3 linked regions of the Cricetulus griseus genome follow. The protein of the gene in region 2 interacts with the protein of the main gene of each other region in a pairwise test. Links are inferred from orthologs where the notes say so. Each region holds a gene or a part of one and is shown on either strand. Other genes may lie near its edges.

The links.
Region 1: the proteins of Spg21 (region 2) and Dtx3l interact in binary tests that used the Homo sapiens proteins (3 or more experiments, as listed by UniProt). The two-hybrid records come from large-scale screens. The link is inferred for Cricetulus griseus from reciprocal best matches to the Homo sapiens genes SPG21 and DTX3L.
Region 3: the proteins of Spg21 (region 2) and Reep6 interact in binary tests that used the Homo sapiens proteins (3 or more experiments, as listed by UniProt). The two-hybrid records come from large-scale screens. The link is inferred for Cricetulus griseus from reciprocal best matches to the Homo sapiens genes SPG21 and REEP6.

What each region holds. Positions count from the first base shown.
Region 1 is NC_048597.1:53,734,039-53,738,367, forward strand, and holds the start of Dtx3l (E3 ubiquitin-protein ligase DTX3L), read left to right. Parts: upstream 1-1,608; 5' UTR 1,609-1,638; coding exon 1,639-1,822; intron 1,823-3,669; coding exon 3,670-4,043; intron 4,044-4,329.
Region 2 is NC_048597.1:177,058,615-177,062,943, forward strand, and holds the start of Spg21 (maspardin), read left to right. Parts: upstream 1-1,002; 5' UTR 1,003-1,221; intron 1,222-4,329. UniProt on the Homo sapiens protein: May play a role as a negative regulatory factor in CD4-dependent T-cell activation.
Region 3 is NC_048598.1:101,129,402-101,133,144, forward strand, and holds the end of Reep6 (receptor expression-enhancing protein 6), read left to right. Parts: intron 1-396; coding exon 397-490; intron 491-579; coding exon 580-718; intron 719-1,711; coding exon 1,712-1,880; intron 1,881-2,378; coding exon 2,379-2,459; intron 2,460-2,734; coding exon 2,735-2,772; 3' UTR 2,773-2,912; downstream 2,913-3,743. UniProt on the Homo sapiens protein: Required for correct function and survival of retinal photoreceptors. Required for retinal development.

The sequences.
Region 1 (4,329 bases), about 120 Mb from region 2:
CAGGACAACCTCCAAAGCAACACAGAGACACCCTGTCTCGAAAAACAGAAAGAAAGAAAGAAAGAAAGAAAGAAAGAAAGAGAGAATGAAAGAAAGAAGAAAATCCCTCACAGCCAGGCGTGGTGGCTCACACTTTGAGAGGCTGAGGCAGATGGAACTCTGTGAGTTGGCAGTCAGCCTGGTTTACAAAGGGAGTTCCAGGACACCTAGGGCTGTTATACAGAGAAACCTTATCTCAAAAAAAAAAAAAAAAAGAAGAAGAAGAAGGAGGAGGAAGAGGAGGAGGAGGAGGAGGAAAGAAAGAAAGAAAGAAAGAAAGAAAGAAAGAGAAAGAAAGAAAATTGTGGTGACAACATATTGTTTATAATGTGTGTGTGTGTGTGTGTGTGTGTGTGTGTGTGTGTGTGTGTGTGTTTGAGACAGGGTTTCTCTGTGGCTTTGGAGGCTATCCTAGAACTAGCTCTTGTAGACCAGGCTGGTCTCGAACTCACAGAGATCTGCCTGCCTCTGCCTCCTGAGTGCTGGAATTAAAGGCATGTGCCACCACCGCCTGGCTTGTTTATAATTTTTTAAAGCCACTGAAGATCAAAAAAGCAGTTGCCAGTCGTATTGCTTGGTATACATAGGCAGGAATATTGCCCTCACACTGAAAGGGTTGATCCTGTCTCTACCAGATCTCACCAAGCCCCAGACTGCTTGCTGCCTCTCCTCAGTGTATGGCTGGAGAATGAATGCCAGCTCCGAGACCCAGTTCTTTTCTTAAATACCTCTTATGAGTACTGGGATTAAAGGTGTGAGTTCTGTTACCCTTTTAAACTGATCTGATCTCATGTAACCCTGGGTGGCCTTGAACTCAAAGATCCATCTGCCTTTGTCTCCTGAGTGTGCCACCACTATAGATTCTCAAAGACACTTCTTCCTCTCTCTGACCCCATCTCATCTGCTCCCAGGCCTGGGACTGAGCCCTTAGAGACTTCTCACTACAGCTCTCCCAGTCTGGGGTATTCTCCTCCCCTCCCCAACCTCACCTTAAGATTCTGCTTGAAACCAGATCTTGGAGGCCTTTGGCTTTTGTTTTCGTCATAGGTTCTTACTCTGCCCCACTCTCTGGGGACTCGGGACAGCGAATAGATCTGTGCTATTGGCTAAATACGAACCTAGAGCAGAAAACTCCTAAATGCCTATCTAACAGGTCATCCAGCAGGTAAACGCCCTCAACTGCAAAGAAACCAGATAACTGTAACTTAAATTCAGAAAGGTATCTAAAGAAAAAATAATCATAACCATTGTTTCGAAGCGCAAAACATGGGGAAAACTTAATCTCTCTACTCTGCTACACGGCCTGGCTCTGGCATCCAGGTTCCTGCTACTCTTCCGATCTTGCAAGAGAAGAGGGCGACCTGCGACCCCGGAGAAATTAGTTCCCCCACGAGCCCACCTCCCGGGGTACAAACTACTCACCTGGGCAAAGGAGACCACAGAGAAAGAAAGAAGGTGGCTCTGTGAGGAAAAGGGAGGGACCTCTTGAGAAACGAAACTGAAACTTTGCAGCCCCGTCTCTGGGACAGGACGCGCCTTTGCTCTGTCCTGGCTGCACACAGTCCCTGATTCCCCCACTCGATCCAGACGAGGACTGCCATGGCTTCCAGTAACTGCCCGTCGTCCCCGCTACTGGTGCGGCTGCCGAAGTCCATCCCCTGGGCGCACAGGAAGCTAGAGAAATACTTCCAGAGCCGGGCCTCGGGTGGCGGGGAGTGCACTGTCCAGCCCGTGGGCCCCAACGCCCCCGACACCTTCGAGGTGAAGTTCCTAGAAAGGGCAGGTGAGCCGGTACAGGGGAACTGGGCTGGGATCGGGTGCAGAGGCGGACCCTGAAAGTTTCTGAACAGAACCATTCGTGCTTCCACGAGAGTGTGGCACTGCCTGTAGGAGCCGCTGCCGCCTATAACTTCCTCTATCCTGGGGGATAGAGCCTTACTTGGGCCCAGCCACCGACCAGGTTTCCTAGGGACGGTTTCCATTTGCTAGCTGAGTTGCCCAATTTCCCAGCAGACCGACTTGAGAGGAGAAAGGAAAGTGTGTGGGGGTGGGGATTGGGGCGGAAACCTAGGGCCCTGTGCTAGCTAGGCAAGTGCTGCACCACAGAGCTACTTTCCTGTTATACATACTGATTCCACTGACTTGTTTTTAAGGATTACAAAATAAAATGTGATAACTTTTAAAAAGTCAATAGAAAAATTACAATGGGAACAGTTTCATGTATTCGTTTTTGTGAAATCAGCTAATGAATATACATTTAAATCACTCTAAACTTTTGGGTTCTTGGTTTGGCAGGGGTTTCACCACTTAACTATACAGTGAATATCGTTGTATGTCATTGAAATGAGAAATTCCAGACCATTGCTATGCAGCTTTGGCTGACCTTGAACTTGTGATACCCCCACCCCCACTCCCACCCCTACCTCTGCTGTTTAAGTGCTGGGATTATGGGTAGTAAACCACTATGCCTAGAAAATTGGCTTCTAATAACCAAATGATTTTATACAGTAAAACTTGAGCTGCCTACTTTTGAGTTCTGGATAACTTTCTCCCATCAACCCTGCTATTCCAGGATAACAGGAACAACTTGCTCAGGTCCTCTGTTCTTATTGTGATAGGAAACTTTTCCTGGGAGATACAGCACACATATCCACTCGCCCCAGATAGGGATCCCGCCACAGTACAGATACAGTGTAACAGTCTAACTTGGTGAACCAAGAGTTTCATTAAGGTTACTTACAGGAATATGGGTGAAGGGTCACTTACAAAAGCAGGAATTACTCAAAGACAGTTGCATCATTAAAGCCCAGACAAGCTCACAAAGCTGGAATATGGAGCACACTGCACAGCCTGCAGGCAGCCCAACAGGTGTGAGAGTGTCCTTTCCAGGAGCCTCAGTTGGTCTAAACCTCCTCCAGGTAGCTGGGCAGGTTTTTGCTTCTTTCAGGCAGCTTGGCTTGGACAAGCATCTCCCCTGCAGAGCCACTTTTCTGCATCTTTCTTGCATCTCTATTCTGTTAAGTGTCAGAAGGACTTTGAGCAATCATTATCGATTATTCAATCGGGGAGGAGCCTACTGAATCTGGTCAGTTTCAGGGACTTCCTGAAGCTGTTTTAAGTTGTTTACCTTCTTGCTTTAGGAGCTTCCCTGCGGGATGGAATGTTTCCATCTTGAGGAAATTTACACAACAATCCCACCTCCTAGGGTTCTTCCAACTAAACAATGCAAGATTGCCTGTGTTTCCATAGTGTTTACCCTGTATGAGGGACTAAAGTCATTTTAAAAGTGTATGGAAGACCAGGTATGGTGGCACACTCCTTTAATCCCCGAACTTTGGAGGAAGAGACAAGCAGATGTCTGAGAGTTCAAAGCCAGCATGACCTATATAGTGAGTTCCAGGACAGCCAGGACTACATAGCAAAACCCTATCTCAAAAAAAAAAAAAAAAAAAAAAAAAAAAAAAAGCACATGGAAGAATATGGGTGGCTTGTATGAAAGCCTGTAAGGGATATCTGTGGATTTTAGTGTCCTCAGAAGTTCCTAGAATCAACCCAGAGAGGACACTAGGGTCGTCTGTAAATTCTCTCTCATTCCTGTGTGAATATGTGTGTTTAATGTCTCCCCTGAAGCTAAGGAGGGAGTACTGAAAAAGAGAGAGCACAAGATGTTGATTGATGACAAACCTGTGACCATTTTCCTGGAAACCATTAAAAAGCCAGTGGAGGACCTGAGACCCAGATCTCCATCTTTGACACAGTCACCAGATGAGACACCAAGCTCTAGACCTCTATCTTTGACACAGTCACCAGATGAGACTCCAAGCTCTAGACCTCTATCTTTGACACAGTCAACATCTGAGACACCAAGCTCCAGACCTCCATCTTTGACACAGTCAACATCTGAGACACCAAGCTCCAGACCTCCATCTTTGACACAGTCTCTGGATGAACCACTGTCTGATAAAGAGTCTGCTTCTAACTCTGTTGACTCTGTTGTCCAAAAGGTGAGTGTTGACAGAGGAGCCAGCACCATTGCTACAACTGCCTCTGTGGTCACCGCTTCTGTCTGTTTTGGTCTGACAGCCTTGTGCCAGGCACTAGCTATGAGCTAGGCACTGGTCTAGGCACTTGGCTACAGAGTTAAACAAACAGGGACAAGATTCCTGTCCTGGTGCAGCCTGTATAGGGGTAAGGAAGTGAGCACACCATAAACAAGTTAATGAACTGAGGATAAGGACTTCAAAGATAGAGACAAGCTAGGAGAATAAAATGGAGTATTGCCTCAGAGAG
Region 2 (4,329 bases):
TGAAGCTATATAAATAAAATTTTTTTAAAAAGATATATTTTTAAGTTCTCCTTAAAACACTAAGATCTTGCTATAAGATTCTTAAAATTTTTCAAACAAGATTTACAGATAATTCAATATGATCATACATTATTTCAGAGCAAAACTACTTACTGAAAGGAGTCATAACATCTGCACCCTCTTTTGTAAGAACAGTGATTAGAGTGAGCCTTACAGAAGAGGACCTGTGTCTGAGGGCAAGCCTAGTGTTGAGTATGTTCCCCTCAACATCAGCACAAAGCCGCAAAAGGAGACAGTTTGGACAGGAGGTCTGAGGAGGATCTCTGTAACTGTACAGAGAAAACTAGTTCTGTTGAGAAAAAGTATGTAGTTAAGAAGAGGGAGGAGATGGGAGCATGAGAGGAAGATAAAGACTAACAGGGTGATGACCAGAATACTTTATGTAGATATGAAAATGTCCTAATGAAGCCGTTATTGTGATTTAATTAACTTATGCTAATTAAAAAAGAATATATAGCCGGGCGGTGGTAGCGCATGCACAAGGCGGGAAGTGCGCAGAGGCAGGACGATCTCTGTGTGTTCAAGGCCAGCCTGGTCTACAAAGCGAGTTCTAGGACAGCCAGGGCTACACAGAGAAACCCTGCTTCGAAAAACCAAAACCAAAAAGTAAACCAAACCAACCAACCAAATACATCAAGCTCTATTCACCAAAGCTAGAACCCAAAGATGTCTCCCCCGAAGCACGAGCCACCCGAAAACTGAAGGCAGAAGCACAGACTTCACTGCCATAGCTTTCTCCTGGTGCTTATGTCAGACAGGTGACCTAGGACGGACCCTGACCCAACGCCAGCACTGGCGCCAGCTTCTGCATTGCTCCAATACATTTGCGCTCGGGCGAGCACAGAAGCTCCCATCCGGGGCTCCACGCCAGCCTCGTTGTCATAGTTACCGCCAGAGCCCCGCCCCTTCCTCGCTGTCCGGCCCCGCCCCTCAGAACCCGGAAGCGGGAGGCGCGCCCCAGGGAGCTACGGGATTCAGACCTGGGAGGCGGCGGCCTCTGGCTGCTCAGCCGCGCGCCCCCTCTACCTGCTGCGCCCGCGGAGCCTCTGCTCTGCAGCCGCCCGGCCCACCCGCGCCCTGCCGCCTGCCTCCGCAGCGCCCGAACCGGGCCGAAGAGCCGTTTGGGCTGGAGAGAAAGGGACGCGGGGGTGGCCACGGCAGGTGAGGGGCAGGCCTTGGAAAGCGGAGTGAGGGTGTGTGGTGCGTGTAGGGTTGTAGGTGGGTGTGTATCGAGCATGCGTGACTAGTGAGTGTCGTCCACGGGTGGGCCGGTCCTTGTGACCATGCACGTGATCCATATCCGTGTGTGTTTGTGTCTGTGTCTAAGGCCCAGCCTCGGTTCATTGCGGATGGTCGGTGTGCCTGTGGGTCCACTATTGTGTGGCTATGGCTATAACTAGTGGGACTCAGGGAGGCCCCAATGGGGGTTGGTGCCCAAAACCTTAACCGGACATCTTCATCTTCTTGTACCACCCAACTTGGGGCTGTGCGGCAGAAGCTCAGAAGCATTTGGTTTCAGTAAACTTTTAAGGACTGCGAGTAGAGGCCAGTTCTGGAGATCCTGCCTTAGACCGGGCATGAGGCTTGTTAGAGAGTCATGAGAAACATTGCAGGGCTAGCGAGTGTCTCGTTTTTCTTTTCCCAGGAAGTTAGTTGTTAGGTGCTGATGCAGTTGCTTTGTCTCTATCTGCAATTGTCCAGCTACTCTTCGTGCAAGGATTCTAAGGATTGGGAAGTCCTCTAATACTGTCTGAATTTTTCAAAAGGCATTTACAACAGGATCTTGAGAAGAGGTGTCAGAAGATGTCATGCAGGCAGCATCTCCTGTCATGGCATTTAGAGACAAGTGGATAGGTTCCTGGAGAAAGAGGGATGAATTTTCCCTGAAGAAATCGCCCCCGAAAGATAGCTATTTAATACATATGGGTGTGCTGGGGGTGGGGTGAAGATCTGCAGTAAATAGCCAACTGTGGTTCTTTGGGTGTAGTTTAGTGGCAGAAGCTCATGCTTAGCATTCCCGAGGCCATAGGTTCAGTTCCTGGTACCGATAATCATAGTTGTGTCACCTAGAGGCTTTCAAGGTCTAATGCTTTTTTTATTGGCTGTAATAATCACAGATTATCCCTATGTAAGTCCACTATAGATTGAGATAAAGGACCAGCCATATGTGACCATGTGAGTTAACATTTGTAAAGCTGATTTCCTCAGCTGTAAAGTGCAGGTTCTGCTGAGACTCCACGTGCATGCTCACATCCAGCAACACAAAGTCCAGAAAGGACCAGGTGTCCTCAGCATCCCGGAGGAGGGGTTTCCTTAATCATGATTAAAGCTTATCTCTGGCCCTTTCCTCACCAGCCTGAACAAGTGCTTTTGTTTTTGTAAAGAACTGAATCATGAGAAATCGCATCTGTGCTGAGCTCACCGCTCACATTCTTTTTTCATCCTGACCAGTTTGGTCACAATCTCAGCTAACTTTCTGGGCCATAGACACAATGTTTCTTTTGTGACTTGGAAAAGCATCCGACCTAAGTGGATGAAAGAGAGCTAGAACAAACTTTCCTTTTCATACTGCTACAGCTGCTTTCCCTTTGCAGCTTTTTTTTTCTTCTTCTTCTTCTTCTTCATAGCCGTCAGCTGGTCACATGCAACATTTGGTAACTGTCTCGCCTTTCATTACTGCCGAACTAGCACAAGTGTTAGGCTCACTTGTCTTTACAAACGTGTACTCACAGCTGGGCAAAATCTCTTACCCATCAAGATTAGTTATAACGTGTCCTGTTGCAATACTGAGGTAGTTGTGAATTATACGGAAGGCTTTTGGTAAGGACTACCTTCTACCCATTGCTATGGGAAAGAAGTGGGTGACTCGGGGTCCTTGTGTGCCTGCCTACGTGTTTGTGCTGTGGTTTGGTTTGTGAATTGCACCTGACTCTAAAACTGTGAATAATTTCTACCGTAAATGGGTTGATTCTAGAAGTAAACTTTAACAAATTGATTGAAGTTTTTGTTTGTGTGTCTGTTTTGAAATGAGGTTTCACCTATCACTGTGTAGCCCTTGCTGGCTTGGAACTCACTATGTACACCTTGAACTCAGAGTTCTGTCTTCCTCCTGAGTGCTGGGATTAAAGGTGTGCGCTATCATCTGGTGGTTTCACATATTTTTGATATTCTCTCCTACAGAAATTGTTCTAGAAAATGTCTTTAGTTGGTGTCCTAGTGTAAAGTATTTCAGAATTAACTGCTAGTTGCTTTCATTTAAAAAAAGTAGTAGCTTAAGGGAGACAGAAGAGGTAAATTGACTATATTACATTTTGCATGAAACTATTCAAATAATAAGAATCTCTAAAAGTTGTTAAAGTTATGATATAAAAATAGTTTAAACATCTTAGATACTAAACTTGTTAATATTTAAGATAAATGGATTTTGCAAAGGATTGTGTTCTTTGTTTTAGTGTTAATGACTGAATCTGTGCACGATGGTTTCAATATAAGATTGATGGTAATTTACTTTGTGTTTTAAAACAATTTACAGTTTTAGCGGGGGCGGGGGGGCTCTGCTCTCTGTGAGTTAGAGGCCAGCCTGGTCTACAGAGTGAGTTCTCAGTTGGGGATACACAGTGAAATCCTTTCTCAAAAAAAAAAAAATTACAATTTTAACAACCCTCTCAAAATATTTCCTTTGCTTTGAGATAAGAGACCACTATCCTATCAGCATTGTAATTAGAGTTTTAATATTGGTCTGTCTACATTTACTGTCTCCTGGAAGTTCAGTGTAGTGATTCTCAAAGGTAGCAGACCAGTGTTGTGTCCCTGTAGAAAGAGGCCAGAGAATGAGGAAGGGTTCCATTAAGTTTAGAATTCTCTGCCCCTTGCCAGGCCAGAGAGCTTTTTCAAAGTCAGCCTAAACTTAAGTCCTGGACTGTCACCTCATCCCTACTAGGGACTCTAGTTCTGCCCTCAAAGCAGGGGAATGCCACGCAAGACATGTATTTGAACCTTTCCAGGTGGGCCAAGTGCTCTTGGCCATAAGAATCTGCAAGAAGGAACCTTCCCTTAGGTTCCTGTTACAGCATCGCACAGTCAGGCAAAGGATATGCAGTTCACAGCTGGGCAGTAACAGAATTAGGAGGGCTTCTCAGAGGGCCTGGTTTGGTCTCTTTAGAGCTCAGTCATCTCATAGTCAGCAGATCAGGTGGGCTGAATGCCAAACCATTCTAGGCTCTGGGGAAGCAAAGATGAAGCCCACAGAGAGGAAACAAGCACAGAGGT
Region 3 (3,743 bases), on a different chromosome or scaffold from region 2:
TTGAGGCCAGCTAGGACTGCATTGTGAGACCCTATCTCGAAGAAGAACAAAAATAACTTTTTGTTTTGTTTTCAAGACAGGGTTTCTCTGTGGCTTTGGAGGCTGCCCTGGAACTCGCTCTTGTAGACCAGGCTGGTCTTGAACTCACAGAGATCCACCTGCTTCTGCCTCCCGAGTGCTGGGATTAAAGGCATGTGCCACTAACACCAGGCCTGAAAAAAGAACCCTTGGCCCAAAAATGAATCCCATCCCAGAGCTGAATGAGGTCCTTGCCTGCTCTGAGGCACTTCCACCCCATGAGGGACATACAACAGACATGAGATCGAGGGTTCACCAGGAAGGAGGTGCAGGTTGCAGACTGCATTGGAGGGTTGCATGCTGCTCTTGTCTTTACAGGAGCCCTCGCCCTTCTAAGCCTGTATCTTCTGTTCGGCTACGGGGCCGCTCTACTGTGCAATGTCATCGGATTTGTATACCCCGCATATGCTTCGTGAGTGAGCAGGCAGTCCACAGGGGTGGGGAGGCTTCTGGGAGTCCCAGGGACCACCAAAGAAGATATGTGTCTTCCCATCTGGACAGAGTCAAAGCCATCGAGAGTCCAAACAAGGAAGACGACACTGTGTGGCTAACCTACTGGGTGGTGTACGCTCTGTTCGGCCTAGTCGAGTTCTTCAGCGATCTACTCCTGTTCTGGTTCCCTTTCTACTACGCGGGCAAGGTGAGCAGGCCATCTTCCCCATTGGGGAAGGGCAAAGAATTGGATCAGGGCCCTGTGTGACAGTGTGGTGTGTCCCCATGTGTGATGCAGGGCCCTGTGTGACAGTGTGGTGTGTTCCCATATGGGAGAAGGCCCTGTGTGAGGATGTGTGTCCCATGTGTGGGGCAGGGCCCTGTGTGAGGTGTAGTGTGTCCCATGTGTGGGGCAGGGTCCTGTGTGAGGTGTGGTGTGTCCCCATGTGTGGGGCAGGGTCCTGTGTGAGGTGTGGTGTGTCCCATGTGTGGGGCAGGGCCCTGTGTGAGGTGTGGGGCAGGGCCCTGTGTGACAGTGTGGTGTGTCCCATGTGTGGGACAGGGCCCTGTGTGACAGTATGGTGTGTCCCATGTGTGGGGCAGGGTCCTGTGTGAGGTGTGGTGTGTCCCCATGTGTGGGGCAGGGCCCTGTGTGAGGTGTGGGGCAGGGCCCTGTGTGACAGTGTGATGTGTCCCCATGTGTGGGGCAGGGCCCTGTGTGACAGTGTGATGTGTCCCCATGTGTGGGGCAGGGCCCTGTGTGACAGTGTGGTGTGTCCCCATGTGTGGGGCAGGGCCCTGTGTGAGGTGTGGTGTGTCCCCATGTGTTGGGCAGGGCCCTGTGTGAGGTGTGGTGTGTCCCCATGTGTGGGGCAGGGCCCTGTGTGACAGTGTGATGTGTCCCATGTGTGGGGCAGGGCCCTGTGTGACAGTGTGATGTGTCCCCATGTGTGGGGCAGGGCCCTGTGTGACAGTGTGGTGTGTCCCCATGTGTGGGGCAGGGCCCTGTGTGAGGTGTGGTGTGTCCCCATGTGTTGGGCAGGGCCCTGTGTGAGGTGTGGTGTGTCCCCATGTGTGGGGCAGGGCCCTGTGTGACAGTGTGATGTGTCCCATGTGTGGGGCAGGGCCCTGTGTGACAGTGTGATGTGTCCCCATGTGTGGGGCACGGCCCTGTGTGATGGCATGGTGTGTCCCCATACAGTGCGCCTTCCTGTTATTCTGCATGAGCCCGGGACCATGGAACGGGGCTCTAATACTGTACCATCGCGTCATACGACCACTGTTTCTAAAACACCACGTGGCCCTCGACAACGCAGTGAGCCAGCTAAGCGGAAGAGCATTGGACATAGCAGCGGGAATAACCCGGGACGGTGCGTACTAGGGGTGAATGCCCAGTGGGTGTGATCTGGATTCTGGGGGGTGTGTTTGTTTTCTCTTTGGGTAGTTTTTTGTTTGTTTTTTGAGACAGAATCTTACTATGTATACCAGGCTCGCCTGGAACTTTCAGAGATCTGCCTATCTACACCTCACAACAGTTAGGATTAAAGGTGTGTGCCATCACACATGGCTTGTTCAGTTATTTTGAGACAAAAAGAATTTCATGTATCCCAGGCTAGCCTCCAACTCACTAAGTAGCTGAGGGTCACCTTGCCTTCCTTAGTGCTGGGATGACAGGCCTGACAATGTCACCCCGCCCCAGCTGGCTCCTGGGTCTCAACTGACCCTGTCTCTGTTGTCTGTCCCCCTGCCTGGATTTGCCTGTCTGTCCATCCGCCTGCCCTGAAACACCTGACTCTTGCTACACTCCCCTGCATAGCTCTGCTATTCTCTTACTGTCCGCCTCTCTCTCTCTGGCTGTCGGGAACCAGTCCTGCAGGCCCTAGCCCGGGGCCGAGCTCTCATCACCCCAGCATCAGCAACGGAGCCCCCAACCACTCTGGAACTGAACCGTATGTAATGCCCAGGAGGGACTATGCAGGGGTTGTGTGCATTCTGTGTTTATGTTGTGTGTGGTTCTGCATCTGTGTGCGTATGTATGGTGCATACTGCAGGTATCCCTGGACAAGTGTGTGCATGCACCCACAGGGGCAGAGCGTGCTGGGTGTGTGTTCAGATGTCTGCATGGGTGACCAGCTTGCCTCTGCAACTGAGCTGGTGGCACATTCCCTCCCGCTCCCCGGCCAGTCGCGTCCACCCTCACATACCATGCCTTTCCGCTCCACAGCCAAGTCAAGCCAGACCCCGCTCCTGAAACACAATTGAAGTCTCCTGCCAGTTTGTGCTTGGAGCCTGTGCCCAGTGACAAGGAGGAGGGACACACAGCTGACGCCCAGGTCTCCTTGGACTCCTCCTCCTCGGACTCCCAGACAGAGATCCAAAACCAACGCCGAACTTCAAGCCCAACCAAGATAGTAGGAAGCCCGCCACGAGCCATGAACGGGCAGTTCTCATCCCCAGTCAGCCCAGGTTCCGATTCTGCGTCCCGGGCCCAGCTGGCCCCTGCTGCTAGCAACTCCCAGGTTCCCAACAAGATCTGGGCCCCTCGCAGCAGGGGCAGTGTGAATTCTAGGCCTACACAGCGTACCCGACTGCCCAGTACACCCTCTCAACCAGGGACCCTCTCAGCCATGCGATCTGGGGGGTCCTCCCAGCCAGTAGCCCGGTCCTCAGCACCTGCTCGGACACCAGTATGGTACCCAGGAAACAACCCACAATTCCCTCAGGCCCCAGCATCAAGCCTGGCCAGTCGATTGGCAGCAGCAGCCACCACGTCGGTACCCACCTCCATACAGCATGTCAGTAGTTCCAACCAAGGCTCACCTAGGGCCCAGTCGCCTAGCCCACCTCCTGACCCTAACCAGGCTGACAATAAGGCCCCCAGTGAGCCAGGGGATGTGGGTTCCAAGAACAACAAGCAGGGTCAGAAGACACCGGCCTCAGAGCTGGCTGGCAGCAGCACCGCGCCTGATCCCATGTCTGCCTGTCACTCTGACTCCTCTCTGGATTATATGTCTGAGTCCACGACGGAGATCACCTGTAAGTGGCCAGGCTACAATCACCAGCTGCGCTGCCCGAGACACTGCTGGCTCTTACAACACCTGGCATATTAGGGACATGAGTGCACACCTGCCCACGGGAGCCACATGAAACGCTAGACCACTCAAGCACCATATGAGTCATGTCAGACACCCGTCCTTGAGAGCCACAAAAAACAACTACCCACCCTAGGAACA